Styela clava: one gene and its partners. The protein of the gene in region 1 purifies or fractionates together with the protein of each later gene. This does not show direct contact. Links are inferred from orthologs where the notes say so. Each region holds a gene or a part of one and is shown in the gene's direction. Other genes may lie near its edges.

Region 1 (7,106 bases):
TTTTAGGTATAAATACTACGGGAGGCTCTTGGCTAGTCTTCGAACTGATAATAGGACTAAAATAAGGAAAATTGAAAAAAAATTATCGTCTAACCCTAACCTGTTACCCATGTTTACGTTCCGATGTCCGCCATCTTGGTTCGCATACTTCGGGAGCACCAAATATTGTATGTCTGTTATTTTTTCTCCCAATTAATTTATTTTTTCTGTTTATTTGGTCAATATTTCATGCTTGACGAAAATTCTTTGCTCCGAATTGAAATTTGAATTTTCAGGTTCGTTTCAAGTTTGGATCTGATGCAGGAGATTTGTCGAATATAAACGGAGGAGAGTCAGGTATGGTAGCAATATTTTTATGGAGAAAGTATATTTATGGATTCATTTTGTTAAATTGTTGTTGAGGTTATTAGTGTTGTTGTTATTGAAAACAAATCGCTCTTCCTGACAAATAATTGTTGTTGTTGTGATTGCTAATATTTTTATTTTTTTGGTTCCTAAATTTCGCTGTTTCTAACGTGTTTCCCCGTCAATATGACAAATTATTTCAATTATCTTTGAATAATAACACTAGGGTTTATTTTGGGAGGATGTCTTTTTTTCATTTATCAAAAACAAAATTACAAAGTGAAGAAGTACGAAATTTTCAAATATACAAAATAAGAAAACCGATATCCTTAAACTTATGAATAACGGAACAAAAAAAAATTGCTCTATTGACTAGGTGGTATTTTAAGGGGAGGGCTTATGTTGAAATAAGCCCATATATTTGAGCATTGCTCTCTTTTTATTATTATTATTGTTATTATGAATCCTTTCACAGGAAAGGGCAAATCTCAAACAAATCCCGCTTTGTTTGGAAGATCATTATCTGTGACTGAAACGATTTCTGAATCTGAACCAGCGGCGAATTTGGCAACACCATTTGGTCCAGGTAAGTCAACAAATTTTGTTCTGCAATTTTTTATGTTAGCTATTTGGTTTATGCAAAGTGACGCTCCATTTTCAAGTATATTATTCATATGTTACGGTTCATTTTAATAATTTACGCCACCAAATGCAACAATGTAATAAAACTAAGATCAGGTAAGTGAACACGTACCACTTCTTCTTGGCAAAACCTTTCATCTTATATTCTGTACGTTTTAAACCTTATCTAAGGTTTTATTTGCGGATTTCATAATCCATTTTTAATCATTTGTTTCAATCATTTTATTGTTATGCTGATTATGGAGTCGAAATAAACTTATACTGCATCTGAATGAATACTATGCCATGGATAGGTGAATTTATTCTGATATCCGCTCGACACAACAAAAAGATAACACACAGGATAGAAATTCAGGAAATTCATAGCTGAAAAAAACTACGGCTTCTCAGAATTTACCACTTGTTATTATTTTCACAGCCTCAAATACCGGTATTCACAGCATTCAAATACCAGCAGGAGTGACCCAAGTGGTGCTGCAACTGGGTGGGGTTGGCCAATTACCGGCAGCCCTTCCAGCTGCGGCCCCAGTTCAGGAGACACGTCAAGGAAGCTTATTTTTAAACCCTGCTAATCCAATCCAGATTAACATGTACGGCGACGGTGAAAATAAAGTCAACATAGATAAGAGCTATATCCGCTCTGTTGAAACATAGATCGAAGTGTCGTATAGTTTTTTTTATCATTGGCCTGTAATCAAAAAAGTAATTTAATTGGAGCATTTTTAAAGTGATTATTTTTAATGAACTTGCGCGCTATGCGCTTTACCCCTGTGACTCCGTTTTTTTAATCTATGATTTAATTTTTGGTTAATTCGTGAAAAATATTCAATATTTATTACACGTTTTACATGCTTATCGTGAAATAAATCTCAAAATAAGGTAGAAACAATTTGAAACTTTATTTTCGGAAACAAGGTGGTTCAGGGTAGTGTATTTCAGAAATTTTTAGGATAGGATAGGATAGGATTTACATATTTATCCCGGGGGGAGAGGAAAGCCGATAAGACGGCTTATCCATATGGCGAACCACGGCCTCTCGTCCGGTTACCATTCCAAGTCGGGTATGGGATTAGTTTTACTGTATTGTTTGTTTTCGGAAGCATGGACTTGGTGGTGGAGGAAGCCGTAACCGACCAGCGGTTACGTGAACCACCCAACGACGGCGAGGAGTCCAGCAATCCTCTCGCACATAACCATCCCTGCAGGGGATTTGAACCTGCGAACCCACGCAGAGTAATTAGAGGTGCGGTGGCGAGCGTATTCCTAACGCTTAGCCCGTTGAGCCACACCGCCGCGCCGTGGGCCGTAGTTTTGTAACTTTTTTGTCCGACCAACGAAAGACAGTCAGAAAATCAGTTATCAGATACAGGCAAACCGCAATCAATCAATTTTATTTCGGTCACTCTGAAAGAAACAAAACAACAACAAACGGACAAACAAAATGCAGAGAACTTGGAGGACGGGTATAACTTAATAAAAAAGTTAAAAACGTACAAGTACGTGCCCGTCCACCAAAAACAGTCAAAAAAACCACAATAAAACAAAATCACGATGTAAAATCGGGCAATACCTTTTAAATCAATTTTAAAATGTGAGACACAACAATCAATCAATCAATCATCATTTATTCGTCAACACAATTTAAACATGGTATGATATATAAAAAAATAATTACAAATACAAGTGGAAACTAACTTAAATTGTGTGACAGGAGTCGCGAGGGACCTCAAGAGGTCTTCAGGCAGCGACACCTAAGTGCTAAGTACAACAGTGCTTTTCTCACAAAAATATGGAATAAAAAACACTCGTTGACGTAAAATGGTGATGCTGTAGTTCAATTTCATTGCAAAAAAAACACAGTGACAAAAAATTGTTACCAAAAAACAAGCTCGTTAAATAGATTGAATGTTCCACAACCGGCCATGCACAAATCATGGATTAGGGTATCGGGTTCCTCTGTCGCCTTCGACCAGTTCTATTTAAAATCATTTCATCCGATCCGACGCCTCCAACATCAATATCGAATGTCCACTCACCACTCAAACGTTAAAGTAGGTGCTTTGTAGGGTTATCAGCATTTGATGCTATTACATTTTCTTAGCACATATAATCAGTGGTGGAATCCAGAGGATTCGTGCGAAGCCGTGATACTCGTGATACTCAACGGCCATCTGTTGTTAGTGGTTTCCATATCAGAGAGAGCCCGTTTTTATATTTATGAATCGTTGCAAATAAACCAACTATCAGTAACAGCAAATTGGGGTTGAATGGTCTTTTATGACTCTACTTTCAAAGTAATTCCTGCTTCTGGGAGTAGAAAGGAAAATGATCATTGTAAATTTATACTGTTAGCTACGCGAGAAAGATATAGTCAGTAATCAGTATGTTAAGTTTATAGTAGATTCTTGCCAAAATAACCAAATTATGCTTGAACGTTAATAACTTGTAAATTATAAATAGATATTTAAATTTCCGTCTTGTTTCTAAAGAGGTTTTAGAGAGCGAGTCGCTTGATGAGCAGGTTCTTTTCTCCTTAGACTATTTTGATTGTCGTGTTTTGCGGACCACAAGGCGCACTTCAACTTAAATTCCTTTTCTCAACAAAAAAAAATTGATCGTGCGCCTTATAAGCCGGTACGTCTAATCGGAAATATATACTACTACAGTCTAATTTATGAATAAAATAATCTAATCACCTTTGATGTATTATTTCCAGTGTGGTTGAATCCTATGTTTGTAGAAAAGTGATTAGATTGGGGATTGTTGTCCTATCGGCTTTCGTCTTCTCCTGGACAAATATTAAATTAAATTTCACCCTTTATTGCAATCAATGGTATTTATCGTATAACAAAGTTATGTCGAATATGGGAATAGTAAATCAGGTATTCGTTCTAAATGCATGGACGCTGAAACACAAGAACACACAGATTGCAGCAAATGATTAAATTATCAAGAATTTTTAATTAGAAAAAAACTTTTTCCCAAGTCTTACAAATATTTGTGAAAAGTCATATGCCACAAAAATCTTTTCATCTATCTCCTAAATCTGGCAAGCGTCGTTTTCGATTCAATTTCATCATGTTTACGTTCCATGCCGCCATCGGGTCTATCGTCGGCGCTCTCGTTTGTGTTCTGCCTCACCGTACCGTGAATCTGTCTTTGGTGTTTCGTATTCAGAATACAGAAAATACACGGTGAAATAAAAGATAATGGACTTTCAACACAGAGCCGGTGGTAAGACAGGTGGAGGTGGTGTGGCCTCGTTCTCTGATGCAAATAGAGATCGCAGAGAAAGGTTGAGACAGTTGGCCTTGGAAACGATTGACTTGAATAAGGTAAATTTCTTATTGTTTCATTTCGTTTTTGAGTATTGAAACCCTGTCGAGTTTATGTGTCTATGATTATCTATATAGGTAATATATATCCCGTACTTTTGCATATTCTGACTTTTGAGATAAATAAACATAATGCCTAATAACTAAAACAATGAAGATAATTCAGTAATTTATTACTCCATTAATGCACTATTGTTTTACAAACAACATGGTCTTATCTTTCTATCAAGGCAGTAAGGAGTCAATTTTGAAAGTGCTGCTATACCAAAGGTATTTTGTTTTTCAGGATCCATATTTTATGAAAAATCATCTTGGCTCGTACGAATGTAAACTTTGTTTAACACTGCACAACAATGAGGTGAGTGATATATTACATATGATTGATTTTGTTATTCCAGTTTTGCACAATCACCAGATCTTTCGTACAAAGCGCTCGCCAATAATGCAAAAATATGACATTTTAGAAAACACCTCTGTCATATTTCAGTATTTCTAAATAACGAATAGTGATTATCCAATTGAGGGTTGAGGTTAGGAAAGATTATTTGAATTTCCAGTGCCATCTGCATTCCTAGCCCTCACTTGAACTGGATAATTAATCCTTTTTATTTTGAGCGTTGCTGGGGGCTTTGTACAAATGAGCTGAATTACGGTAACTATGTGTAACACCACGTTGTTGTTTTCTGATATCTCCCAGCCCTTCAGGTCTCAAGGCAATAAATGTTTTCTCGACTCTCGATTCAAGAATAATTCTCTCTACACTTTGATATTTCAAAATTTGGGATGCTTATTTATCAAGTGTTTTGGAGAGTCGACGTTTATAAACATTTTCAAACCCATCATTTTTATCATAATACAGCCTACAACAATACGCTTACAGATACTTGCAGCTAGTTTTAGCCTAGTCTATAGCAGCTTACCTTGGCACTGATATTTGATTATTGTGACTAAACTAAAGCTCAACGAAAAACATTGACAAATGAAATATACCGTATATGCTTGTTTTACCGCCCGATCTTGAATAAGGGCCCGTATGAATAGCTGCCCGTGTGAACAGAACATAAAAATAAATAAGGGCTGGTGCTTGAATACCCGCTCGATGTAAAAGCTGATTTTTCAGTGGTAGAGAACAATAGGAAATAGAAGCGCTTTTGTCACAACGCTGTTGAATTTTAAGTGCCTGTGTCGCAAAACTTCCTCTTTTGTGGATTTGTACCTGCGGTGCGTAGAAAAAGTCAAAATTCTCGTTATTCTCGTTCAAATCATACTTGAGAAATGGAAATAACAATATATTAATTATTGTAACGATCAAAAATAACAAGCGCCCGTGCTTGAATAGGGGCCGGTTTGAATAGGGGCCCGGTTAGTGAGTTGGTTGAAAAAAATGTGGGCCCGGGCTACAAAACGAGCAAATACTGTACTTTATTTATAACTAATTTTTGGAAACACAACTAAAACCTGACAAAAAACTTGAGTGCCGCGAAAGCGAGGCAATGTTTAAAACCATGCCTGAGTATCTGTTTGGGCAAACAAAGTGCCTGAGTGGCTGCAAAAACTACAATTGTTACGTCATCGTTGACGTTTTGCTAAATGATCATTGTTACGGAAATAAACAAGGAAATCATTGCTCAGCAAACTTTCATTTGTAATTACTGCTACATATTGTGTTGCCATAATTCTGCACATCTCATTACCTGCCTCAATTTTGAAAATTTCCTCTTTCCAGGGAAGTTATCTTGCACATACTCAAGGTAAAAAACATCAAGCAAATCTGGCAAAAAGAGCAGCAAGGGATGCAAAGGAAGCCCCAGCTCAACCTGCTCCAGCCAAACCCACCATTGAAGTCAAAAAGTTTGTTAAAATCGGACGGCCTGGGTATAAAGGTAATTAATTAATAAAGAAATCTGAATAGTTTAATGATCAAGAACGGGGGTAATCTGGAGGAAAGTTCCTCTCCTCAATTGACGTACAATTAAGACATTTTTGAATATACGATGGTTTCAGAATTGCATCGAATATTTTTTCCGAATCGAATAGAATGTTAAATACTTGTAATACTAATCTAACGTAGTTGTATTGACTGTTTTACACTGATGGGTCTTTCAGACACATATTTAGGGGAAATACGTGATCTATCACTCAGATTGTTCGCTGAGTGTTCACACACAGTAAGTAACATTCTTCATCAATAACTCAACTTCAACTACTTGATTATTATTTAATTAATGTTGCATTCTTTTTTTTTTCAGTGACAAAGCAAAGAGTGCCCGATACTGGACAACAAAGTTTATTATTCCAGGTCGATTATCCTGAGATCGTTGATATAATCATACCAAAACACAGGTATGAGCTTCTGTCTGCAAATTAATTTTAATTGTTGTACACAGTGGCGTAGCCAGGGGGGGTGGTTCTGCGGGTTGAACCCCCTCCCACCCCCTTTGAAATGTAAAAAAAAATATCATTTTTCTGTATCATAGATAGCAACTATTCGTATCATAAAATGCTTTTTAGACCCCAAGACTAATAAAAATACGCGTATTCCAGCGTTCGATCGGACCCGCTAGCTGTTTCGGTCTAACTTGGCAAATAAAAATTTCAGCCCCCTTTAACCCCCCTTTGAAAATTTCTGGTTACTCCCCTGGTTGTGCATGAAGTGGGACTATGTGTCGTTGTTACAAATTTTCGATAATCAGTAATTTAAAAATTGCCTTTTATCAATTTAAAGGATTACCGGTAATTGTTTTAAAATTCTCAGCACTCAAAGGTGGAATAAGTAACTAGGAG
Region 2 (7,667 bases), about 17 Mb from region 1:
ACCAGGAAATCGAGAAATGGAGTAAACGATCCCGAATTCAGGGTAAAGACAAATGTAAATGAGTATATCTCCAGCCCCCATTAGACCTCTAAAGATGTTTTGCCCTCAAGAACTTTCTAATAACGATAGCTCCATTCTGATAACAGCTGACGAAGCGTCTACTACACAATCTATGATGTTGCGGTTTGTCTCACCGAAAATTCCATTCCAAAAATTTGTACATTTAACTGATGTCGATTATAAAATAATGAATTCCAAAACTATTTTCAGAAGAGACTGGTTCACTTCGGATATTATGAACACGGCACAACTAATTTTGTCATCTCGGTATTCTGAAGTAGACTTGTTATACAGCGCTATCTGGCCCTAAAGTGTATATTCCTTTTCAAAAATTTGTTTGTGCACGAGAATCACTGGGTAACAGCATCAAATATATTCACCCCTGACCAAAATACCATACAGATTTATGATAGCTCAAATATGAAGTACAATGAAAATGACGAATATGCGATTTCGCTTCTTACGCGGCCAAGGCAAGGAACAAATAAAGTACCAATTGAATTCCCCGCTGTCAAGCAACAAACTTTATGTGCATCGTGTGGCCCATTCTCGATTAGTTTTTGCATAGCCCTATGTAACAAAATACGACCAGAGCATATACTATTTGACGAGAAAAATCGTAGGAAGAAAATATGCGATGGTGTTTCATTAACTTTTTAAGCTATTAACCTGAATCAACAAGCGTTTTAGGTGTCGCTGCCTGAAGACCTCTTGAGGTCCCTCGCGACTCCTGTCACAAAATTTAAGTTAGTTTCCACTTGTATTTGTAATATTTTTTCATATATCATACCATGTTTAAATTGTGTTGACGAATAAATGATGATTGATTGATTGATGGTATGGTCTCTGAAAATTTTTCGTCGGTATTTAACATCAACAAGAAACGTGTTATACCCGCGTCCAGGCGATTGGAAATTCCGATACTTCGCAACTGTCAACTGTCTTACATTGAAAATCAGACCATGATCGAATGCACTTCATGTTTGAAATGGTACCATCCGAAATGTTGTAGTGTTCCAGTCCCAGTTTAGGCACTGGAAAACAGCGAAATAGAATGGAATTGCAAAAAGTGCATCCGATGCTAAATTACACGCAAAACAATATTCAACTAGATATGATGATTTACATTCTCATTTTTTTGAGGTACATCGTTCAAGTCAGACGAAGGATCAGTCTGTTTTACCTATTTGGCTTAACATGCCCTTTGCCAGGTTTTTCTCTCTTGGTCTAGTCTACAATACTGAGATGAAAACCGCCACGATGGTTGGCACCTTGACGTGGTGTGGTGGCTTTCTAGTAAGACCAACCAACCATTTTAGGAAATTTTTTAAAATATAAGATAGATCCCCGGTAGGGAAGAATGAGATGATTTCACAATTCGTTTATGTTATCTTACTTAAATTGAGGCACGCCATTATAATCTATACAGTATGTGGGTTGTGATAGCGTTGTTTATTAATTTTAAGTCGGATTCTTGTTTGGGTCATGTGTGACAAGATATATATTATTATATATATGTTCCCGACATACAATTTTTCTTAAACACGGTTCGAGGTTACTTAACAATATATATGTTTATTTGGGATATTTTATTTAAAAGTGGGGCACGTGATTGAAAAGTACAGAATTTGGGGTTGAAATACTGATATTTATTACATTTGAAGTAAAATTCCTGTTTGAGCCATGTTTGACAAGATATTAATATATGTTCCCGACATACGATTTTTCTCAAACTTGGTTCGAGGTTACTTCACAATATGTTCTTTTGGGATATCTTATCTAAAAGTGGGGCACATAATCAAAAAGTACAAACTTTTGGGTTGAAATACTAATATTTATTAATTTCGATGTAAAATTCATGGTTTCGCCATGTTTGACAAGATACTGTTGTTGTTCACCAATGCCAAGCAATAAAGCCATTTTACTTTTGTACAGTTGTAGTCTAGGTATACAAGTATATAAATTACAAGAACAAAATTGCCTGGATGTGTAGTAATTGATAGACCATTATTTTTTAATGAAAAGAAAAAAATACAAAGAACATTATGCCATTGAAAATGTACGGCCCCGTAGTGATGTACACCAAAGTTGGGTCTCATGTAGTTTCGTACCTAACATACTTCTAGTGATATTTATTACATTTGATGTAAAATTCCTGATTGAGCCATGTTTGACAAGATATTAATATATGTTCCCGACATACAAATTTTCTCAAACTTGGTTTGAAATGACTTCACAATATGTTTTTTTGAAATGTCTTATCTAAAAGTGGGGCACCTAATTAAAAAGTATAGAATTTAGGGTTAAAATGCAGATATTTATTAATTTTGATGTGAAATTCCTGTTCGGCCATGTTTGACAATGTATTATTATATGTTCCCAACATACAAATTTTATAAAACTTGGATTAGGATGACTTCATTTTAAGTTCATTCTTATATCACCTTCAAAAATCTGCCCGACCATCGGAAATTACAGATGAGTTTTGTGCAATTCCGAGTGTAGCAAAATTTCGCCGTAAATCTGGCAAGTGCTTTGCGACTAGATTCCCCTTTTTCGCCATGTTAAATTGTTTTCTGGCAACGCTATTTTACCGTTCCGAAAACGAGAGAGAGATATGTCCGCTAGGGCAACTTTGGGTTTGGGGGTCTCCTTACCTAACATACCGTACTTCTAGTGGGTGTAGCATAACAATATGATATGTCAACTCAATCCTAACCCCCATCTGACTACGGCCTCTTGACTACGTCATGCTACGCTCACTAGAAGTATGTACGAAACTGCATGAGACCCAACTTCGGTGTACCGTACATCACTACGGTGCCGTACGGTACATTTTCAATGGCATAATGTTCTTTGTATTTTTTTCTTTTCATTAATTAATAATGGTCTATCAATTACTACACATCCAGGCAATTTGTTCTTGTAATTTATATACCTGTATACCTGGACTACAACTGTACAAACGCAAAATGGCTTTTTTGCTTGGCATTGGTGAACAAGATAAAGCTTTGGAGAGCAATGCTGAATTATTGCAACAAATGGCATTGTTGAAGTATTTACAGTCTAATGAATCTTCGTCTGCCTCAAGTACAATATACCAGTGGATTACTGCAGCACGAATTGGTAATGAACTGTACCAGAGAGTTTCAGGAAAACGCAAGATTGAACAATTCAGAGCTGAATTTTTGGCAGGAGTTGTATCATATCTGCAGAAAAACCCAAATGCATCTCCCAAAAGTCAGAAGACAGAAATTGAAAGATTAATTGGTGTTTTTATCCTGCAAATGAAGTCTTTATAAGTGAAAAAAGATGATATTTTTGGAAATAATTTTGATTCCATTTATGATTATTTTGCTTTTGCACTTACGCATTTGCAATATTGCAGTATTTTGAACTTTGAAAATATGAATTGTTTCTGATATTTCACTTAACATTGACTTTTTTACTATTTTTGTTTTGAACCATGGCTCTCATCCATTAACCCTTTGTTAGATTAAACTTTTGTTAGATTAAAAAGTGCATACAAGGCTATTACTGGGACTAGTAGAGGTTGTGAATAATACATGTTTTGGTTTTAAGAAACGCTTTCATTTCAAACATATCGACACATGTAGATGCATTTTCATTTTTATACCTCACAGATTGTTGATATATTGTGGTTGATACCTTTGATTGTATTATATTTTCACAAAGTCTGTCGCTTGATTGACGACATTGACTAACACAGATTTATATCCAATATTACATTGTCATTTAGCTAGGCCAAAATATGCTTGGTGCACCCACTTAAAATTATATACAATGCTGTGGAAACATTCATATTGTAAAACAGCTCATCCACAAAATAATATAATTTTATTGTGTCTCCTTGACTACTTTAGCATTCTGAGGAGGAGCCATTATGCGGTCTCCTTATGAAACAATGCAAAAGTTTGTAAGTTGGCATTTTTGATTGAGGTGATCTTTATAACAATGCCGTTTTTATGCTTTGTTGGGCACTATGTAAAATAAATTTTTGACAATACTGCATGGGGAAGAATTCATTTAGTGCTTCTGTTTTTTCTGTTTTGTTAAGTATGCTATGGAGAATTTATTTTTCTCCTATCGCCAGACAATTTAGTCTAAACTGTCAATGTGAATAAATATAGGAGCAGTCGTAGAAATTGATATATATTTATGTCATCGAAAAAAGGGTTTTGCATATTTGCTTTTAAATTAATAATAGAATTAAGTACAGCATATCAGAGACAATTTTCCAACACATTCCTACGTTAGCTAATAATAAATTTCGACTGAATTGCAAGTTGTATTATTTGTAAATGGTGATTCAAATTGAGAAAAATAAACATATTGGTATATTTCAATAAAATATGTAGAAAATCGTAAATATACCTTATATTAATCACAATGTTATTGGATGCATAACTGAAATAGAAAATCCTTGTAGTAGAAATTTCATGAATATTCATTTACAGCAAACTTTAATTTTAAAAAATAAAAAGTATGATATGGCTGTTTAGATTTGATATAAGGAAAGAATTGTTTATTTTCATTGTTTATTTTTATTTGTATGCTTGAAAAAGGGTTTAATATCTTGTATAAATATTCGTGTACTTATCTTCAAATATAGCTACATAGAGCCTGTAAGATTTAGCAATATATTGCCTGCATTTTCCAATCTATAATATGGATGTTCTACAACCACCAGTGGGTAAGATGAATTTATCTCTTATTTTGAAAATTTCAACTCAAATTTTATTGGCTTTGAGAATAAAATTGTGAAATCATGTTTTGGGTTCATTTACTTTATATAAATGTTGTTACCTAATAAAACTGCTAAAATATCCAAAATCAGACTTATTCAGAATAAACTTTTTTTTTTTTAAAAACATCTTTTCAAAAGAACCTGAGGTGAAAAATATCATTGACAAATTGGCAAACTTTGTTGCAAGAAATGGAGCAGAATTTGAGAAGATGACGAAAGAAAAACAAAAAGGGAACCCAAAATTTTCATTTTTATTTGGCGGGGAACATTATAATTACTACCAATACAAACTATCAACAGAACAACAAAGTAAGGAAATTATTTTTTATATTTTTGGGAAATTTAATTTTGTGTTTGTTCAAATGAAATCCAGTATAAGTTTCGAATATTCGTTTTACATCTTTTGCCTGTAAGGGTGCTGTTCAAAGACGCAACGGTCTATTAGAAAGTTTTTCTTTCTTAATTATGGTATTCAATCTAGATTACACCACTGATCATATTGCAGAGTTTTTACATCAGTCTGATTGTCCAAAGTTACTCATGAGTCATGACTTTTAAAATCTCATGTTTTTATATTATATCCTGTTTACATTAAACCTGTTGCAAATTTTGAAGTTTGTATTTATACTCTCTCATCATGTTAATTTTTCGCTGTATTCTTTTTTATTGCATTTTCAGTTCAAAATCAGCAAAAAGCAAAATTGAATGCGCAAGTAGTTGCACAAGAAGCAATGGTACAACATTCATTGCAGAATGCACCTTGGCAACGAAATCCTCAACAACAGCAAAGTCAGCAACAAGCAATTCCACCTCTGATGCCACAATTCCCAAGGTTTCCCCCTAATATGAGAATGGTATGTCAGGTGTTCTGTTTTTTGTATTTTTGGTAGATGGATGATGGCTAATACACAGTGTTAGTCTTGTATGTGGTTTTATATCTATTTCTTTTTGTAATCTCATTTTATATACTGATCTTCTTATTATATTATAGCCAATGTCGAATGCTCCGCCATGGCAGCCACAGTCCCAAAGATTCATGCCACCGAATTCAGGACCAAACATGCATCAGCCGCCACCTCCGTTCCCAGGCCCCGGTAATAACCAGACAGTACCAAGTTAGTGACACTTTGATTCATCAAAATTTGAAGTCGAAGTGACAAAATTTTTTTTTTAATGAAAACTGTTTTTAGACATGCCGATGCCTCCTAATCAGCAAATGGGTGGACAACCACCACCACAAAATTTCAATATGCCGTATCGACAACCACCACAGAACATGCCACCCAGGACATCAAGGTTTAGTCAGTTACCACCAGAGCAGTCTCAAACTTTACCAAGTCAAAATCAGGTTTGAAATTTGTCATTTCATTTTAGTTCATATATATATCAGTGGTTCTCAATGTGGTATGGGGGAGCTTTTAAAATGGTACGCGAGCAGCTTTGAATTATTGCAACAATTAGTTTTTGAGTTTGCTAATATATGGCAGCAACACTTTCTCTTTATATTTAATACTGTATGTATTCGCTAAACGGGTTCATAGCGCTACCAGTCCTTGTCTTTAGAGATAGCCCTCGTCCGCTACTGCCCAACTAAAATGAAACGAGAGTGTAATAATTAAAACCTTTCAGCTTTGACAGTAGACGATGCAAATTCTTTCGTGCTTCTGCACACAATTATTACGTTGTTAGGACATATATTTAATATGTTGAAACTTTGCACGAAGATCTAGAAATGGATGTAGTGCCACATTATAAAATAGTCCCATAGCACGTTGCTTGTGCCTTTGTTGCCCACCCCAAAAGGGGGCTTCAATGGTGTTACGCTGTTGGAGTAAAAAAAAACACTAAAGAACCACTGATATAGATGTACAAATTGAAAATTTGATATGTTCACATAGTATTCTGTCATGTTATCAAACTATGTTCTACTCTAAACAGGGCGTTGGGCAAGCAGCTGTTGAATAAATTATATTGTTTGATGTAGTTCATTTTGTTCAGGAACCTGAAGACAAAAAAGCATCAGACTTGAGTCAAGGCAAAGACGAAGAAGGCCAAGAAAATGAAGAATATCAAATTGTTCAAGCTGAAAACGAAGCCAAAATAAAAATTGAGAAAAGCAGCAGTAACTTAAAACAACAATATGAGGTCATGATGCACATCTGTACTATTAACTATATACAGGATGACGCAAAATGAATAGAACTCATAAATTTATTTAATACCTAAACACTTGAACTCCTGTTTGTGTATGATTATACCTACAAGTTTCAGTATTCTAGGACAGTTTGCACCAGTTATGTTCTCTCCACAATATGTTTCGAATTTCCCGGGTTCTGTTTTTTCAGGTTACCCTGGAATTTTGTTAATTGCATTCAAGATGCGCACAATTTTTCTTTATCGCAGGCCTGTAAATGGCTTTTTTCAAATTTTTGTATTTGTATTCTTTATAATAAATTTTTAATTCAGGTTTTGATGCACCAACAACAAGAAAAAATTGATGCTGCAATAGCTCAGACCGAAGAAGAAAAATTAAGAAATCTCGCTTCGAGTACAGGAATTATAACTTCTGATTTCGATGTTGTTTTGCAACCCATTATCAACACTTGCACCAAGGACTCAATTTCAGTGAGCAATAAGCTTGTTGGTCCTTTGTTATAGTTCTGGACTGTTTGCTAATTTATTTTGGATAAACAACGGCAATATTTGTTACAATTCAGTAGACTTGTAAAGAAATGTTAGTACAAAGTACAAAGAAGCTGACTAATGCATTGGGAAATTTATATTCAGTTAATTTACTCAATTCTAATTTAGTAGATAGATTTAGTTGTGGTAAGAGAGT
Region 3 (7,693 bases), on another chromosome or scaffold:
CCCCTGGGTTCTATTATTCGTCATGACATTACAGAAGCTATGAGAAAATCTCTTACGCTAGATCCAGTTGCTATCACCGGATCAGAAAGACACATCACTAATAAGATCAACAATGACGCAATGAATAAGCGAAAACTTATGAGACGCAATTCGAATTTGAGGGAAAAAAATGATGTGGTTTCTTGATATCTATTGAAATAAAGAATTATGGTAAATTCGCAATTTGTGATTATTTTGGTCGAGTATCAGATTGTAATCTTGAGTAGGCTATTTCTCCTATTCAGTGGACTTCAACACAATTTTCAATAGCTTAAGTCTACAAGGCTCAACCTTTTGTGTACAACTGTCATTCGATTAAAATATTTGAGAGGAAGAATATTTAAATTCTACTAATATAACAGCGTGTTAGAAATGTCTCTTCGGTTGAAGTCTAAAGGGATTCTTATTTCTTCCACATTTCGCTGTAGCTGTACTATGGCAATATGCTCCTAAAGATGTCAGCACGTAATCCCCCACGAAAATTAGAATAATTTAATATAAAATAATATGAGGTTTTTGCAATTTTGAAAAGCAGTTTTTAGGAGATCGTCCAACATGCAATGATTTTAGAATTACCCGCAAAATATCACATAACGCTTTACGCTATCGTTTTTCAAGTACCTGCAGAATTTGGCTAACCCACAAACAGCATGTACATCTAAATTTTAGAAGATAACTCTGTTTTCAACAGGCTAAGACAGCATTTCCCAACCATTTTCTCACCCGCGAAAACCTTTGCGGACTCAAGGTGCGTTTATTGCAACCGTACTCTTTGTGAAGAAGCGATAAAACCAAACACAACAGAAATTTAACGAATTTCAAAATCGGAAATTTGCCGCAATTACGCGTTCGTTAAAAAGCCCACTTTTTTAGTGTGTAATGAACTTTTCTGTGACACAATATTCAATCCATGACAACGACGAGAATTTAAAATAACTTTCTATTTTAATTCAATTGCGTCCATAGTAACTCGCAGATGCGGTCGACTACTCGACTTACGACAAGATGATCTGCGAACATAATAATGTGAGAATATATTGCCCGATTATATTCAGTTTTGATACATATTTTCTGCGATCTTGCGATTTTGTTATCGCCGTTAGAAAAATCCTACTATCTGCTATAAATTTCCAGAATGGACAACTTAATTTAGTACTTATTAAAAATAGATTTATATTTAGTATATTAGTAAATCAAACCTAAATATTTATCGCCTTGAAATTCTCGCGGAACAACTTCTGAAGTAATCGTCGGGTATACGTCACTCGTTAAAGAGCCGACTTTTCTATAATTTTTTCTGTTGGATAAAATATTCAATCCATCCATATTTGTGATCCTTTTAGCAATACTAATGAGAAAATATCATGACAATCCGTGCACACAAAAATGTGTGGTAAAGTGCCGAATTATATTTAGTTTTGATTCGTATTTTCGTAAATTCGACAAATCTGAGCTGTTTGTACAACACTTACGGCGCTCCAGTACTATACGTACCGATGTGGAGTAAAGAAAAGAATCCTACGGGAAAATGCCCTGGTACGTAAACTACGGTAGCACCAGAAATTTTGCGATTTGCAATGCGTAAAAAAGCATTTTAATCGGTCGAGGACCATCATAAAACAAAACTTATCGTGTTCTCCATTTTATTTTTAGTATTTTGCATCGCCGCTTTTCAATTTAGAAAATTTCGGTTGTCACCATTTACACCTAACAGAAAAAATATTTATTCCTCGTTGTTCGAACTCGCGAGAAACACCACTTAGGTATCTATCGACGTTTTCGTTTCCGCAAGCGACGCGCAAGTGAACTGTCGCGTCACGTATTACCAAATTTTCGAATAGTAAATTGCTATTCTAATATTTGAGTGCGGCCCCTGTGAATTTCTGGCTCATTGCGGACTCATTTGAGGCCGCGGACTCGGGTTGGGAAACACTGGGCTAGAGCAGTGCTCCGCAACCGGTGTGCCGCGGCGCACCGGTTTGCCGCGAGACGATGCCAGGTGTGCCGCACAGGAATTGCCACTTTTCTCTTCTTTTTACAATTTTTTTTTATCCTTTGTTAATTTTACGTTAGTCTACTACTCTACTAACGTAAAGTTAACCTGCTTTTACGTTAGCTTGAGCGACACCAATTCAAATTCCTTACTCCCCCCACTGTGCATTTGTGACGTAAAAAGGAATAGGCCTATATGTCAAGCAGATATATTGTGAAGCCCATATTATATACACGCTTTGGTAAAGCCTATTGTCGAGGCTAAAACATAGCACGTGTAGTCGTGTAGTAATCGAATATGAATAAAACTTGAGCTTAACGAAAGAATTACCCCTGCGTATTCGAGAAAATTTCTTTGAAGTAAGAAATTACAGAACGCTAAGACTGAATTTCAGCGAAATTCCACTTGATGTGTCTTGGATTTCAATAAAAGAAGAATATAAGCACATTTCCAATGCAGCTATTGAAATATTGCTCCAGTTTTGCACAACTTATGTGTGCGAACAAAGCTTTTCCTCTTTATTACTGATCAAAAACGATAAACGATACTGTATAAAGGATGTTGACGGCGAACTTCGAGTTGCTCTTTTATGTATTGTGCTCATTAAAACAACCACAAATCTCTCATTGAAATATGAACCTAAAAACAAAGTTACACTTTGTTTTTTTCGTTTGTTGTGGTGTACCGTCAAATTTGGCAAGATTTATAAGTGTGCCGCAAGTTAAAAAAAAGGTTGCGGAGCACTGGGCTAGAGAAAAGATTGCAGAAAACTATTACCCATGTTACATAATCTAACAATTCTCTTCTTCAAACAACTTAAAATTCTATAACTACACAATGACATGTTAACTTGATATCGCAAAAAACTTGGGTCTAGTCATGACGCTACTACTATGACCTAATCTTTTAAGGTCAGCCTACCTAGCTTCTAGATCTTGTTCTCGTAAAATGACTTTGATCCATTCTTTGTAGCGATTTCCGCTTGACAACGAAATTCTTGAGCTGAGAGTGTTTTCTAGAAGTGCTTTGCAACTCTTGCAGTAGCGTTAGTGAGTTAACGTATCTATTCATTATTGTACGTAAATGTAATTGAATAAAAGAAGGCGCAATTAACGAAGTCGCCATTGGCCAATCAGCAAGATACAAACATTACCTCGTTTAAACGTTTTTGAATTCTATTCGTTAGTGTTCAGTTGTGTTTTGAAAATTTAAATATAAATCAGATAATTCAATGATCATTTTGTCTTCTTAAAAGTTTCAATTTAATTGCAGTAATCAAAAATTGGTGTAGAAATAGCTGTGATAGACTAGGCTGATATTCTTTACCGGTGCTCGCCAACTCGCGAAACTACTCTTAAAATAAGCCCCGGAATTTTCGCAATGGTATATAGCAGCGTTTCCCAAACTTTTTCGGCCACGGAACACTTCCACGTTTTATCTCGCCTCGCGGAACACCAAAAAAATAAAAGAGTAAAATTGATAAAGTAAAAGTTGTCAAATGCGCGGGGAAAACTAACAGAATTGTGTTAAACATACTTAAAATATGCTTGAATATTTTACATGTTGCCAATGTTATAAAAGTTTTCTTAATTTAATATGAATCAATAAATTCACTTTACCATTTATGTCATTTACTTTTCATTACGTAGTGTTTGCCTCTAATGTTACGTCTAATGGGAGTATAAGTACTTGCTGCAATTTCGCCGCAGTTTATTTATCAACTTAATAGAGTTTAGCGAAAATGAGTGATTTTTTCAGCATTTTAAAGTAAAACCAGGCTGATACGGAGGAAGAAGAGTTGACCCTTTTGCCTTTATTCTTTAGACCTACACGTTTGCCTATAGAAAAACCAAAAAGATTGTTGTAAACTTGATAATGAACTTATGAATGAATAACAGTCTAAAAGCTAGGCCGACGTATTTTTGTACGTACGTAATTTATATGACTTATCGAAAACGCCACTACCCTTTCCCAGTTAGGGCGACGGTGACGCGATATTGAACGGTCAGTTGGGCGACAACTTCACGTTTCAAAGATCAGGGCTCCCCAAACTCGCGGCCCCTTTTGGATATATAATTTTTTTTCGCGGACCTTGTCCACGTTAACAATGCTAAACAGTTCGAAAGATGCATTTTTGATGTTTTGTAAAGTTGGTGTTCTTTTTGCGGCCCCTAAAATTCGATGCGCGGCCCCTAATTTGGGAATCGACAAATCTCCATAGCGACCATTTGAGACGTATTTTTGATTCCTTTTCCACCGAACACTTCGAAGTTGCTCGCGGAACACTAGTGTTCCGCGGAACACAGTTTGGGGAACGCTGGTATATAGGAAGAGTGTGGGAAGAATTTTGGGAAGTCAAAGGTCGGGGAAAAGTCCATTCACCCGGAGAAACCACTGAACTGTGATCTATTAGCGTCTCATATTTAATAATAATAAACAATCCAAGATCAGGCGAATAGGTGAGAAAAATCAAAGCAAATTATGATTTCTGTCAAATTTCCTAAGAAATGCATTACGCGCTACGCAAAAGTTGGAAGTCTATCGCCTAAACGAGGGAGGCTTCTATTGGTCCCGCTAAAATGAGAGAGAAGCACACTTTATATATCTCTGTGGGAGGAACGCCTGGTCACCCGAACATAACCGCGCAGTTGCGCTGCAGAGCAATGTAAATTATAAGTAAACCATAGCACCAGCATCATCGATTAACACACAGACTTGGTTGGAAAATTCTGCGGATTATCGCAAGGCAGTGTCCTAGCCAGGCGTTGCTCCATTGTCTAATTTTTGTGTCAAAGGTGCCAAGAGAATGAGTGGAGGAAATAAAAAGTATGGGTTTCAAGGTTTTGATATGACTGGCTCGTCTAGAGGAAACACGTCATACAAAATCGGATCCAAGCGGAGATTGAGTGTGAGTAAGATTAATATTGTAATATAAGTAGGCTAGCCTAGTTCTATGTATATGGCACTCTAGGGCAAACTGTTTCAAAAACAGTTTTATATTTGGTATAAAGTCAGATTTAAACAACATTGAATTTTTAGGAGGGTGAAGATGAATACTTCAATGATGACGATGAGCAGCAAGATAATAGACAAAAGCAACGTGATATTTTGGCTGGATGTCCATTTTTATCAGAAGAAGAGAAGCAGGTAAACTTGGTGGACCCAACCCTACATATTCTGATATTACAGCGCTGTTTTGAGTTAAAGTTAGGCTACATGTCAAGCGCAAGTCTTGAAAAAAATGATGAAGAAGTGGTCAAATGTGTGTCATGTATATATCATATGAAAAAAATAAACATTACACTGCCACTGCTGCATAATTGCAGTATAAAAAGTAATAAGTAAAAGTATAAAAATGTCCTGTTTTATTATAAAAATAACTTTGCAAAAATGGAATGAAAAGGTTATATAAATAGCACTCTAGTCGTAGTATATGTATTAATGAATTTTAATGTTTGCCATAAGGACATGATCAAAAAACAAGAAGAAGAAGAAAGTGAAGAAGAAGATCCTCTTGATGCATTCATGGCTAACATTGAAAATGAGGTTATTTTTTCTTTTCATTTTGCAATGATGATATGTTAATGTTACTATCTTGAAGAGACCATGCTCAAGTTTAAATCTAGTTATTGGTGTATTCATAACTTCAACCTTAATGGCTGAGCCGTTTGTTATTTTTAAGGTCAAAAAGCAGGACAAAAAGGATTCCGTACAAAAGCGAGATACAATCAAAGGTGTCAGAGATGATTTAGAGACAATGGATGATGAAGAATCCTATTATAAATATATTGAAGAAAATCCTGATGCAGGTAGATGCTAAATTATCTTTGAAAATTTATTGGATATTCTTTTTGTGTTAGTAGAAAAAAGAGATCATATTTGAGTAACAGTTTATATGATATTCTTTAAACATAATCTTTATGAGATCATCTCTATTATGTGAAATTGATCAAGTATGAAAATGAGGCAGTGGAATGATGTAATATTGTTCGTTTTACAAACCTGTCACATTTTTCTTCCGCAGGGAAAATGTTTCTGGATGCTGATGATCCAGTTGAATATGATGAAGATGGAAATCCAATTCCTGGAACACAGAAAGATAGAAAGATGATTGATCCATTACCAATGATTTATCACTCTGAAATTGAGTATAAAACTTTTGAGAAAAACTTTTATGTTGAGCATGATGATATTAAAAGACTTACAGATTCAGAAGTTTCCATGTTACGAGGGAAACTTGGGATCCAAGTTTCCGGTTTCTTTCCACCAAAGCCTGTAACAAGTTTTGCTCATTTCGGATTTGATGAAAAACTGATGAAAGTTATAAGGTGAGTTTGCATTTTCTAGGATAGTTAGAAATGTATATGCTAATCTTTCTTCTTTTAGCTTGAGCATTACCATAAATACATAGTGTAAATGCAGATTAAAAAATGCTTGATTTGAAGGGAAACGGCAAACCTTAAACTTTGCTACCCAAATATGCTCCGGTGTGATCACTATGTTACGAATTTATGCTAAAATTAGAACGAGAATATCGGTCAGAGACCGAAGACTTATCGATCGAAAGTTAGGGGATCCCCCAAAACAGCGCTCTTACTCCATAGTGACACCTTGTGTCCCATCACTAATTAATTAATAACTCGCTAATTATTCGACATAATTTGCCCTAAATCAATAGGCTTCTGGTCCGAGATAAGATGAATTCACATGCAAAATCTAGAGCAGACTCAATCTCGCTTTCGTGAGATATGGCGTGTATCTAACAGACATACAGACAGACAAATACCTATCAACATACTTACCGATTTAAATCGATAAGTAATTATTCGATAAATGATATAATATTCTTTCGAAGGAAAATGGAATATACCTCCCCCACGCCAATTCAAGCTCAAGGCACACCAAGTGCATTGTCAGGCAGGGATGTAATTGGTATTGCCAAAACTGGTTCTGGTAAAACAGCGGCTTTTGTTTGGCCCATGTTGTCTCATGTACTGGATCAACCTGTACTTGAAGAAGGTGATGGACCAATTGCACTTATTGTGGCACCAACAAGAGAACTTTGTCAACAGATACATGCTGAAGTAAAAAGATTTGGCAAGGTACGGTATTTATATTACTGATGGGGTTTGTTGCCTTCTTGTTCATATATTTGCATCGCTCATCGCTCTCTTGTTTATTATTTATTGTTGTTGCTTGATATCTTTGTTAGTTCCAAAACAACATGGGTTTGGTACTAGAGTTATCTGAAAGTAATGAGATACCATATTTTTGTATATCTGAAATGAAAACTTACAATAAAATTAGGTACTTCCGTAGTGTGTGTACCAGGTTAGGCCATAATTTTATTCTGATTTTCCTTATTTTAGTTCTATTACGAGTTCGGGTACTGTCTGTGTTAGCCAAGTGTATATATCCCCTGCCCATAGGCTTTCATCTCTTTACACAACTTGATGTAAAGTAGGCGAACAAAATTAGTTACCTCCATATTGCACTTCTGGAGTGCCTAAAATTATTTGTATTTTATCCTTCTACACTACTCGTCATTTAGACTGTTCATTCCTCCATTTCTTTTAAGATTTATGGAGTAAGATCAACAGCCTGTTATGGTGGTGGTAGTATGTGGGAACAACAAAAATCACTTGCTGAAGGATCAGAGAT
Region 4 (6,648 bases), on another chromosome or scaffold:
TAAAAAATTTATAATTACAAACTATGGCAAAAATGAAATGCAGAAATATTTTTGAATCGTTTTTTTGCATTTATTGGATATTGTTAAAATATAATATAATCTACCTCTCGATCATTGTATTCAACAAACTGGAGACTGGAGCTTCTTCCAGCGATTTAAAAAAAATGTAATAACGATAAATAAATATAAACTTCGATTTTATTCATAATTATAACTGACGTGTTCTAAAGTATGTCTGACAAAAAAAGGAAACTGCCATACTTGTAAATAGTTGCAACTTGATATCGAAAGAACATCGCTCCCATTGAGTTCCACATAATCCTATAATTATCAACAAGTTAAATTAAAAAGATGATAATTATCAATTTAGTAGACTTACTCATAATTTAAAAAACGACATAGGTAAAAAGTATCAGATATACGTTTTTTCATAAGATCATGGTGTAGAATTTGTTGAAAAAACACGATAGAAATTCGGTTCCCAAATCAGTAACAAAAATTTCTTGTGAAGATTTAAATTACCATGATATTGTATGATATATGCGTTATGAAGATTTCAAGTTTAACCAATATTTCCCAGGACACCTTCTTCAACGTTATTTTCAACTTGTTCTATCATCCAGTTCATTCTTTTAGCTACTGCCATTGCAATCTAGTAAATATATTTTTGACAATATGAGTAGCGTATAAGAATTACATAAAACAATTTTTGCACAGCTCACCTGAATCTCTGTAGTTTTCTCTTCCTCAATATTGGCAGTTTTGACCCATAGATATAAAATTGTAACGGTAAACTTAAATTGATGGATATTGTGACTACCTAACTGAATTTACTGCTATAGCCTACTAGTCAGCATGATATTTTTGGTGAGTGTACGAATAAAGTGCCAAACCCAATATATCGATGGATGAAATTCATCTCCAACATTAAATTCCACTCTGATGTAAAAGGAAGTGGTGTGTTTCCTGGCGAACGGAAAATGAACTCGGCTGAAACGAAGAAGAAATATGTGATTTTCATTAACTGTGGGCCGACACGCCTCAAAAACCTTGTCGAACAATTCTTAAGTGCACTGGAGTTTGAAGAGAATTTTTAACTACTCTATGTTAATATATATATCGATATTCTAGCTATACCTTACCCTATTCCAATCTAAAAATAAACCTGGACTCCCCTCGGCCTGAAATTATAAAGTATTAAGGCAATGAAGGCATGAACTAAAATATATATAACTATGATAATAGAACTTTTTACATGAAAAATAATTAGTCCGAAGGGAGGTAATAGAGCCAGCATGTAGTCGGCGATTCACTTCCATCTTAATCCTGTAAATTAAAGCGTAAGTATTCTGTAATAACAGATATAATATATAACGGTCAATATTAATTTGAAATCTTTATCAATAATAATCTTACCAATGATCTAATTTTAGCTATTCTATATCCATCTGAAAAAAGAGAATTGAGTTTTATTGAGATGTTATTGCACGCAGTGCATTCGAGTAACAAAACAATAGTTAACATAAACTCACTCTTTTCATGTAATCGAGACTATTTCGTTCCCTCAATATTTTTTCGAAAGGATGTGGAGCAGTTGGTTCTCGACTGAGATTCTGAAGAGGAGTGATAAATAATACAGCAAGAAGTGCTTGAGCGTGTCGTGAAAAAAGGAGAGAGCATAAAGTATATTATAAGACCGCTCGAGACGTCTACGATTTTCATTGCTAGTAATAATTCGAAACTACAACAAAATGCGCTGAAATTAATTGGTATTCACAACTATCTTGAATTGTTGTACCCATGTCCTATACTCAAGTACAAGAAGATGCGGAACATAAATTCGTGTTTTATCCTCGTTTTGTGAATTCTAACAATATATTTAGGAAAATCTTCAATGATTTTCGAAAACCGCTAAAACAATTCTAATTATTTATTTTAGTCGGGAAAACTTTCAAGTCACAAGTTATAAGTTACCTCGTTCAAAATCGACGGTGATAATTGATACCACAAAGATGTTGCTTCCTCCCTTTTTTTGCAATGTCCAAAACAACATGCGTCTTGAACTAGTCTGACAGGCAGGCTACAGGCGGAACGACTTTCTGCAACATCAGGTGCCTGTGGCGTCAATTGATAAAAAAAAATATAGGTATGTTCCATGTTGTCTGATCAACTCCACCGGCATTAACCTTCTTCCTGCCGTCTTCCCTGGGCCAATTTGCATGAGTTATTTTTTAAATATTTTATTTGTCAACCATCAAGCCCTAAAGCTTCACTCGTGGCTTTTTAAAAGCGTGTGCTAGAGTTCTATTTAGCAATATATCTTTAAAACACACTCCTCTGATAATATTTTATTTTCTCTGCGATAAAATTTCACGCGTGACTCGCATGTCACCATTTAAAAGCCGTAAGATGCGACTGATGGTCAAGTGGCAAGCTGCGTAGCAACCCACTTCAATACTGTCAGAGCAACAACTAATAATTTTGCAGTTTGTAAATTTGTGATAATATATATATATAATTTATACAAGGAAACTAACAAACCGAAGTTTGTATAGTGAGCTAAATTAACTAGAACTGGTTTATAATCTGATATTTCGACCGCGAATTTAGTGAAACGTTTTTTTGAATATCTTGACTGATGTGGTATTTACTGTAATATGTAACGCATTTTAAAATGTTAGATAAAATAGTGTTGAACGGAAAATTAGTACATGCTTTTCACAGCCGATGTGGCAAAATCGCCACCTTGTTCCAAATTACTAAAGTAACCGATGTGTTGTCACTTTTAGTTAAATGTAGCTTTCGGTAGATCAATCCATAATTTTTTATGAGGAGTTCATCACACTTTCACTTCAAACAAGGCTATTCACACGCAGCCACTTGTGCGCAAGAAGCTACTATTGTAGGGAGGGCCGTTTCCTTCCTGTTTTGGCTTTCCCTCCTTCGTTTTTCATAGCCGGAACAATGTGATGACTGATGACCATTGGTTTTGGTCGGAGATATTGACCCTGCGATGCCAATATAGTTAAGTTCTATATGTGCAACGCTTTACTCACTATTTCATATTTCTTCAAAGTTGAATGAATGAAGGAGTTGACCCATTTCCATCATTCAAGACTACAAAAAAAGCAGTAACTTTTTTACACCCTGGATGATTTGAGCGTAAATATGGTTTGAGTGATTATCACTAGAACTCAAGATTTGTAATCAGGGAATATAATATTTGTTTGTTTATTACAACTCACATTCAACACGCAAAAACTTGGGATTTTTAGGATTTTGGGGATTGGGATTGCCAGTAAATAGAAATACCGTATAAATATAAAATCCAAAATCGAGACTTTTGGAGAATGTCCCAACCATTGAGGTGTACACTACAGTATTTATACACCTCAGTGGTCCCAATCGATCCTTGTGATTGGCTTGTCACGTGACGTGACTGCGCACCAGATTTGTTGTTTGACGTTTTGGCGATGTTTCAACTCAATCCTTCAGTCCCTTCCCTAGGTCTGTAGGTTCGTTCGTTGGCGTTTTGAAAGATCATTTTCCAGTTTTAACGCGAGCGTCTAAATTTATAATGTTGCCGGTACTCAATCAATGTACAGGTGCCGCGTATCGGGGTACGTATGACGGTATGGCAGTATCTGAGTATGGACAATCACTATCAGACTATGGTAAACCCTGAATAGGATAGGATAGTATTTACATATTTATCCCAGGGGAGAGGAAAGCCGATAAGACGGCTTATCCATATGGCAAACCACGGCCTCTCGTCCGGTTACAATTCCTAGTCGGTATCAGGGTATGGGATTAGTTATATTGTTTGTTTTCGGAAGCATGGACTTGGTGGTGGAGGAAGCCGAACGGTAACCGACCAGCGGTTACGTGAACCACCCAACGACGGCAAGGAGTCCAGCAATCCTCTCGCACATAACCATCCCTGCATGGGATTCGAACCTGCGAACCCACGCAGAGTAATTAGAGGTGCGGTGGCGAGCGTATTTCTAACACTTAGCCCGTTGAGCCACACCGCCACGCCGCGCTGAATCCACAAGATTCAGAGATTTGGGATACCGGTACCTTCATACCGGTATTCCATTTTTTTATTTCTGCTTGACCTTATACTGTTACGGTACCTAACAGACTTCTAGGCTAGTAGTAGGTGTGGCATAACAATTTTTTGATAAATGTATTGAATGGTATCTAAAGTCAAAGTCAGTTGCATGCGGGCGCAGTTGTTTCGCACGCCCGCAAGGGAATTCTGATTTGCATGCAGGAATTTCTGATTGCACGCCCGATTTCTCATTCAAAAAGGCCATGAAATCCAGACTAGCCACCCTCGAAACCTTAATAATAAACTAGTGTACGGTAGGCCATAGAACAACAGGTGTCATAAACCTGTACACATTATATTAATTAAATTTTCATCAGGTTTAGTACGGTATAATTTAAACTGCTATATATCTCAATTTCCCCACTACATTATCATTAATTTAGTGTTCACTTGTAATATTTGGTATATCTGTATAAAGCCCAGTCCTGTACCTGTAGTCTAACAAATAAAATGAATTTAAATAATTGTACTGATTTCAGGATTTATACAATTCAAGTTTGAAATATAGGAATGAGGTTCTTCGTATATGTACCGGATTGCAGAATTAATAAATGAATAATTTTACCATTTTGCAAATACAACAGTTTTGAAAACCTTTAGATCTTTTAAACCTTTGAATTTTTATTAAAACAAAAAATCATGTCTGCCGAATTGGAAGCAAATTTGACAAACTATAAAGTGCAATTAGCGCAAGTCGAGGCAGCTCTATCAGCAGATCCTGAAAATGAAGAACTTAAAAAATTGAAGCAAGATCTTGAAGAAGTTATTCAACTAACTAAAGATTTAATGGGAGTAGAAGCTGCAAAACCTTCAACGAAAGCAAAAACAACAACTGGAAAAACCGCCGAAGAAATAGCAGAAGAGACTGTTCAGCCTGACAGTGGTCCTCGTCATATGTGGAAAGTAGGTGACCCATGTTATGCAATATGGAGTGGAGATGGGAAATATCACAAAGGAGTACTCGAAGAAATTTTACCTGAAAGTGCAACAGTTGCAGTTCGATTTGATGAATTTGAGCAGCCAGATGTTTGTCAATTAACGCAGTTAAAACTGCTTGCCGATGGTGACAAGGCTGGTTTTAAATCAAAAGCCAGTAAACGGGAATTAATGATTCAACAACGTGAATATCGTAAAAAGAAAAATCAAAGAAAGAAAATGAGAGCAAAAGAGAAAGAAGCTGAATCTGAAATTTCGAAACATAAATGGAAAGAATTTAATAAAAAAATCACACATAAGTCTATGAAAGGTGCCGTCAAGAAAAGTATATTTGCATCACCTGAAGGTCTTGTTGGAAGAGTGGGAATTGGTACTTGCGGAACTGCAGATAAAGATATGACAAAATATGATGAGGGTGCTAAATATAACGCACGGCATCTTGTGCCAAAATCATGAAAGGGTGTTATAGAACTTCACACCTATATCATTTAAGTAAGATGGCATGTCTTTCAGGGATAGTATCAAGCGACATATGACAAAGTTCATAATCTTGTTACCAAAAGCATTCTTTCTGGCATTTGGATAATATGAACTGGATGAGGAAATTTATTATTTTTGGCTTGTTTTAGATTATGTGTATATTTTTGATAGGAAATGGCATGGTATTAATGTGTCCATGGATATTATGATGAAGTCCCAGTCATTTGTTTAGAGAAATGATATTTTTCATGCCTTCAATCTATTTATATGCTTGATGAATGAAACAGAATAATCGAAATAAAATATGACTGGAATTTAGATTAGATGTTTCGAATCTTGTCTACTATTTTGCTGTTTAAGTTGGATAACAGTTAAACTTTTTCTCCAGTGAAAATTAATCAAGAATGACTGGCTGTCAAAATCTCTAGAGAAATAGTAACGTCATGAGGGGAATCTTTATTATTTCTCGAGTTACAATGATGTAAATTGTACCAATGTACTTCTACTATTTTTTTTCAATCCAACTGGATGTGAATTTACTTCTGTGAAATATTCAAGCTTGTTTTTATATTACTTTATTCTTTTCTCTATAGATCAGCATAATTACTAACACTAAATTAAAATATTATTTGTCACGGAATGAAGAGACGACATACTATATTACGTGGCTCTCCTGGAAACAGCAAGAAGTCCAAAACATTCATACCTTGGAGTAATGGAAAACTAGATTCAGAAGCTAATATAACTGATGCAATGAGTGCAATTGAGCACATTAGAAATATATTTCCACAAGAACAACTGCAGAACCGGTTTCCGCCTATTGTTTTTAAACATCAATTGTATGCTTTATTGGAAAATAGAACGACAGTTGATCAGCAAGTAAATGATCTTTTTGAATGTGGACGAATAAAAATATTTCATTTGGAACATAGAAATGAGGAGCATATGATTGTATTAACAAAAGATTTTATTGCTCACGTCAATCGATATCACAATATTTCATCTAGGGAAGGACGGGGTGAACGTAAAGATGATAAGAAGTTAACTAGCAGGGAGCAAATCATATCTCGATTTTTGATCGAGGTTATTGGAAGTATATCAGAACTTACTATTACTGA

What was found.
Region 2: the proteins of splicing factor 3A subunit 2-like (region 1) and calcium homeostasis endoplasmic reticulum protein-like purify together in Homo sapiens (affinity purification with mass spectrometry; 3 studies listed by BioGRID, with this or other methods). This does not show direct contact. The link is inferred for Styela clava from reciprocal best matches to the Homo sapiens genes SF3A2 and CHERP.
Region 3: the proteins of splicing factor 3A subunit 2-like (region 1) and ATP-dependent RNA helicase DDX42-like purify together in Homo sapiens (affinity purification with mass spectrometry; 3 studies listed by BioGRID and IntAct, with this or other methods). This does not show direct contact. The link is inferred for Styela clava from reciprocal best matches to the Homo sapiens genes SF3A2 and DDX42.
Region 4: the proteins of splicing factor 3A subunit 2-like (region 1) and survival of motor neuron-related-splicing factor 30-like purify together in Homo sapiens (affinity purification with mass spectrometry; 4 studies listed by BioGRID and IntAct, with this or other methods). This does not show direct contact. The link is inferred for Styela clava from reciprocal best matches to the Homo sapiens genes SF3A2 and SMNDC1.

What each region holds. Positions count from the first base shown.
Region 1 is NC_135250.1:29,566,777-29,573,882, reverse strand, and holds the start of splicing factor 3A subunit 2-like, read left to right. Parts: upstream 1-4,091; 5' UTR 4,092-4,196; coding exon 4,197-4,322; intron 4,323-4,608; coding exon 4,609-4,680; intron 4,681-6,048; coding exon 6,049-6,205; intron 6,206-6,571; coding exon 6,572-6,665; intron 6,666-7,106. Other genes in the region: uncharacterized protein LOC120334753, read left to right, coding at 276-336, 821-931, 1,406-1,641. UniProt on the Homo sapiens protein: Component of the 17S U2 SnRNP complex of the spliceosome, a large ribonucleoprotein complex that removes introns from transcribed pre-mRNAs.
Region 2 is NC_135250.1:12,309,927-12,317,593, reverse strand, and holds the start of calcium homeostasis endoplasmic reticulum protein-like, read left to right. Parts: upstream 1-4,643; 5' UTR 4,644-4,749; coding exon 4,750-4,774; intron 4,775-4,966; coding exon 4,967-5,137; intron 5,138-5,506; coding exon 5,507-5,682; intron 5,683-5,819; coding exon 5,820-5,943; intron 5,944-6,018; coding exon 6,019-6,176; intron 6,177-6,826; coding exon 6,827-6,973; intron 6,974-7,294; coding exon 7,295-7,453; intron 7,454-7,667. Other genes in the region: uncharacterized protein LOC144419834, read left to right, coding at 3,033-3,362. UniProt on the Homo sapiens protein: Involved in calcium homeostasis, growth and proliferation.
Region 3 is NC_135253.1:14,088,533-14,096,225, reverse strand, and holds the start of ATP-dependent RNA helicase DDX42-like, read left to right. Parts: upstream 1-4,678; 5' UTR 4,679-4,838; coding exon 4,839-4,940; intron 4,941-5,071; coding exon 5,072-5,179; intron 5,180-5,497; coding exon 5,498-5,578; intron 5,579-5,714; coding exon 5,715-5,841; intron 5,842-6,056; coding exon 6,057-6,360; intron 6,361-6,887; coding exon 6,888-7,134; intron 7,135-7,610; coding exon 7,611-7,693. Other genes in the region: polycystin family receptor for egg jelly-like, read left to right, coding at 1-186. UniProt on the Homo sapiens protein: ATP-dependent RNA helicase that binds to partially double-stranded RNAs (dsRNAs) in order to unwind RNA secondary structures. Unwinding is promoted in the presence of single-strand binding proteins.
Region 4 is NC_135260.1:11,001,063-11,007,710, reverse strand, and holds survival of motor neuron-related-splicing factor 30-like, read left to right. Parts: upstream 1-4,669; 5' UTR 4,670-4,753; coding exon 4,754-5,506; 3' UTR 5,507-6,124; downstream 6,125-6,648. Other genes in the region: winged helix repair factor 1-like, read left to right, coding at 6,170-6,648. UniProt on the Homo sapiens protein: Involved in spliceosome assembly.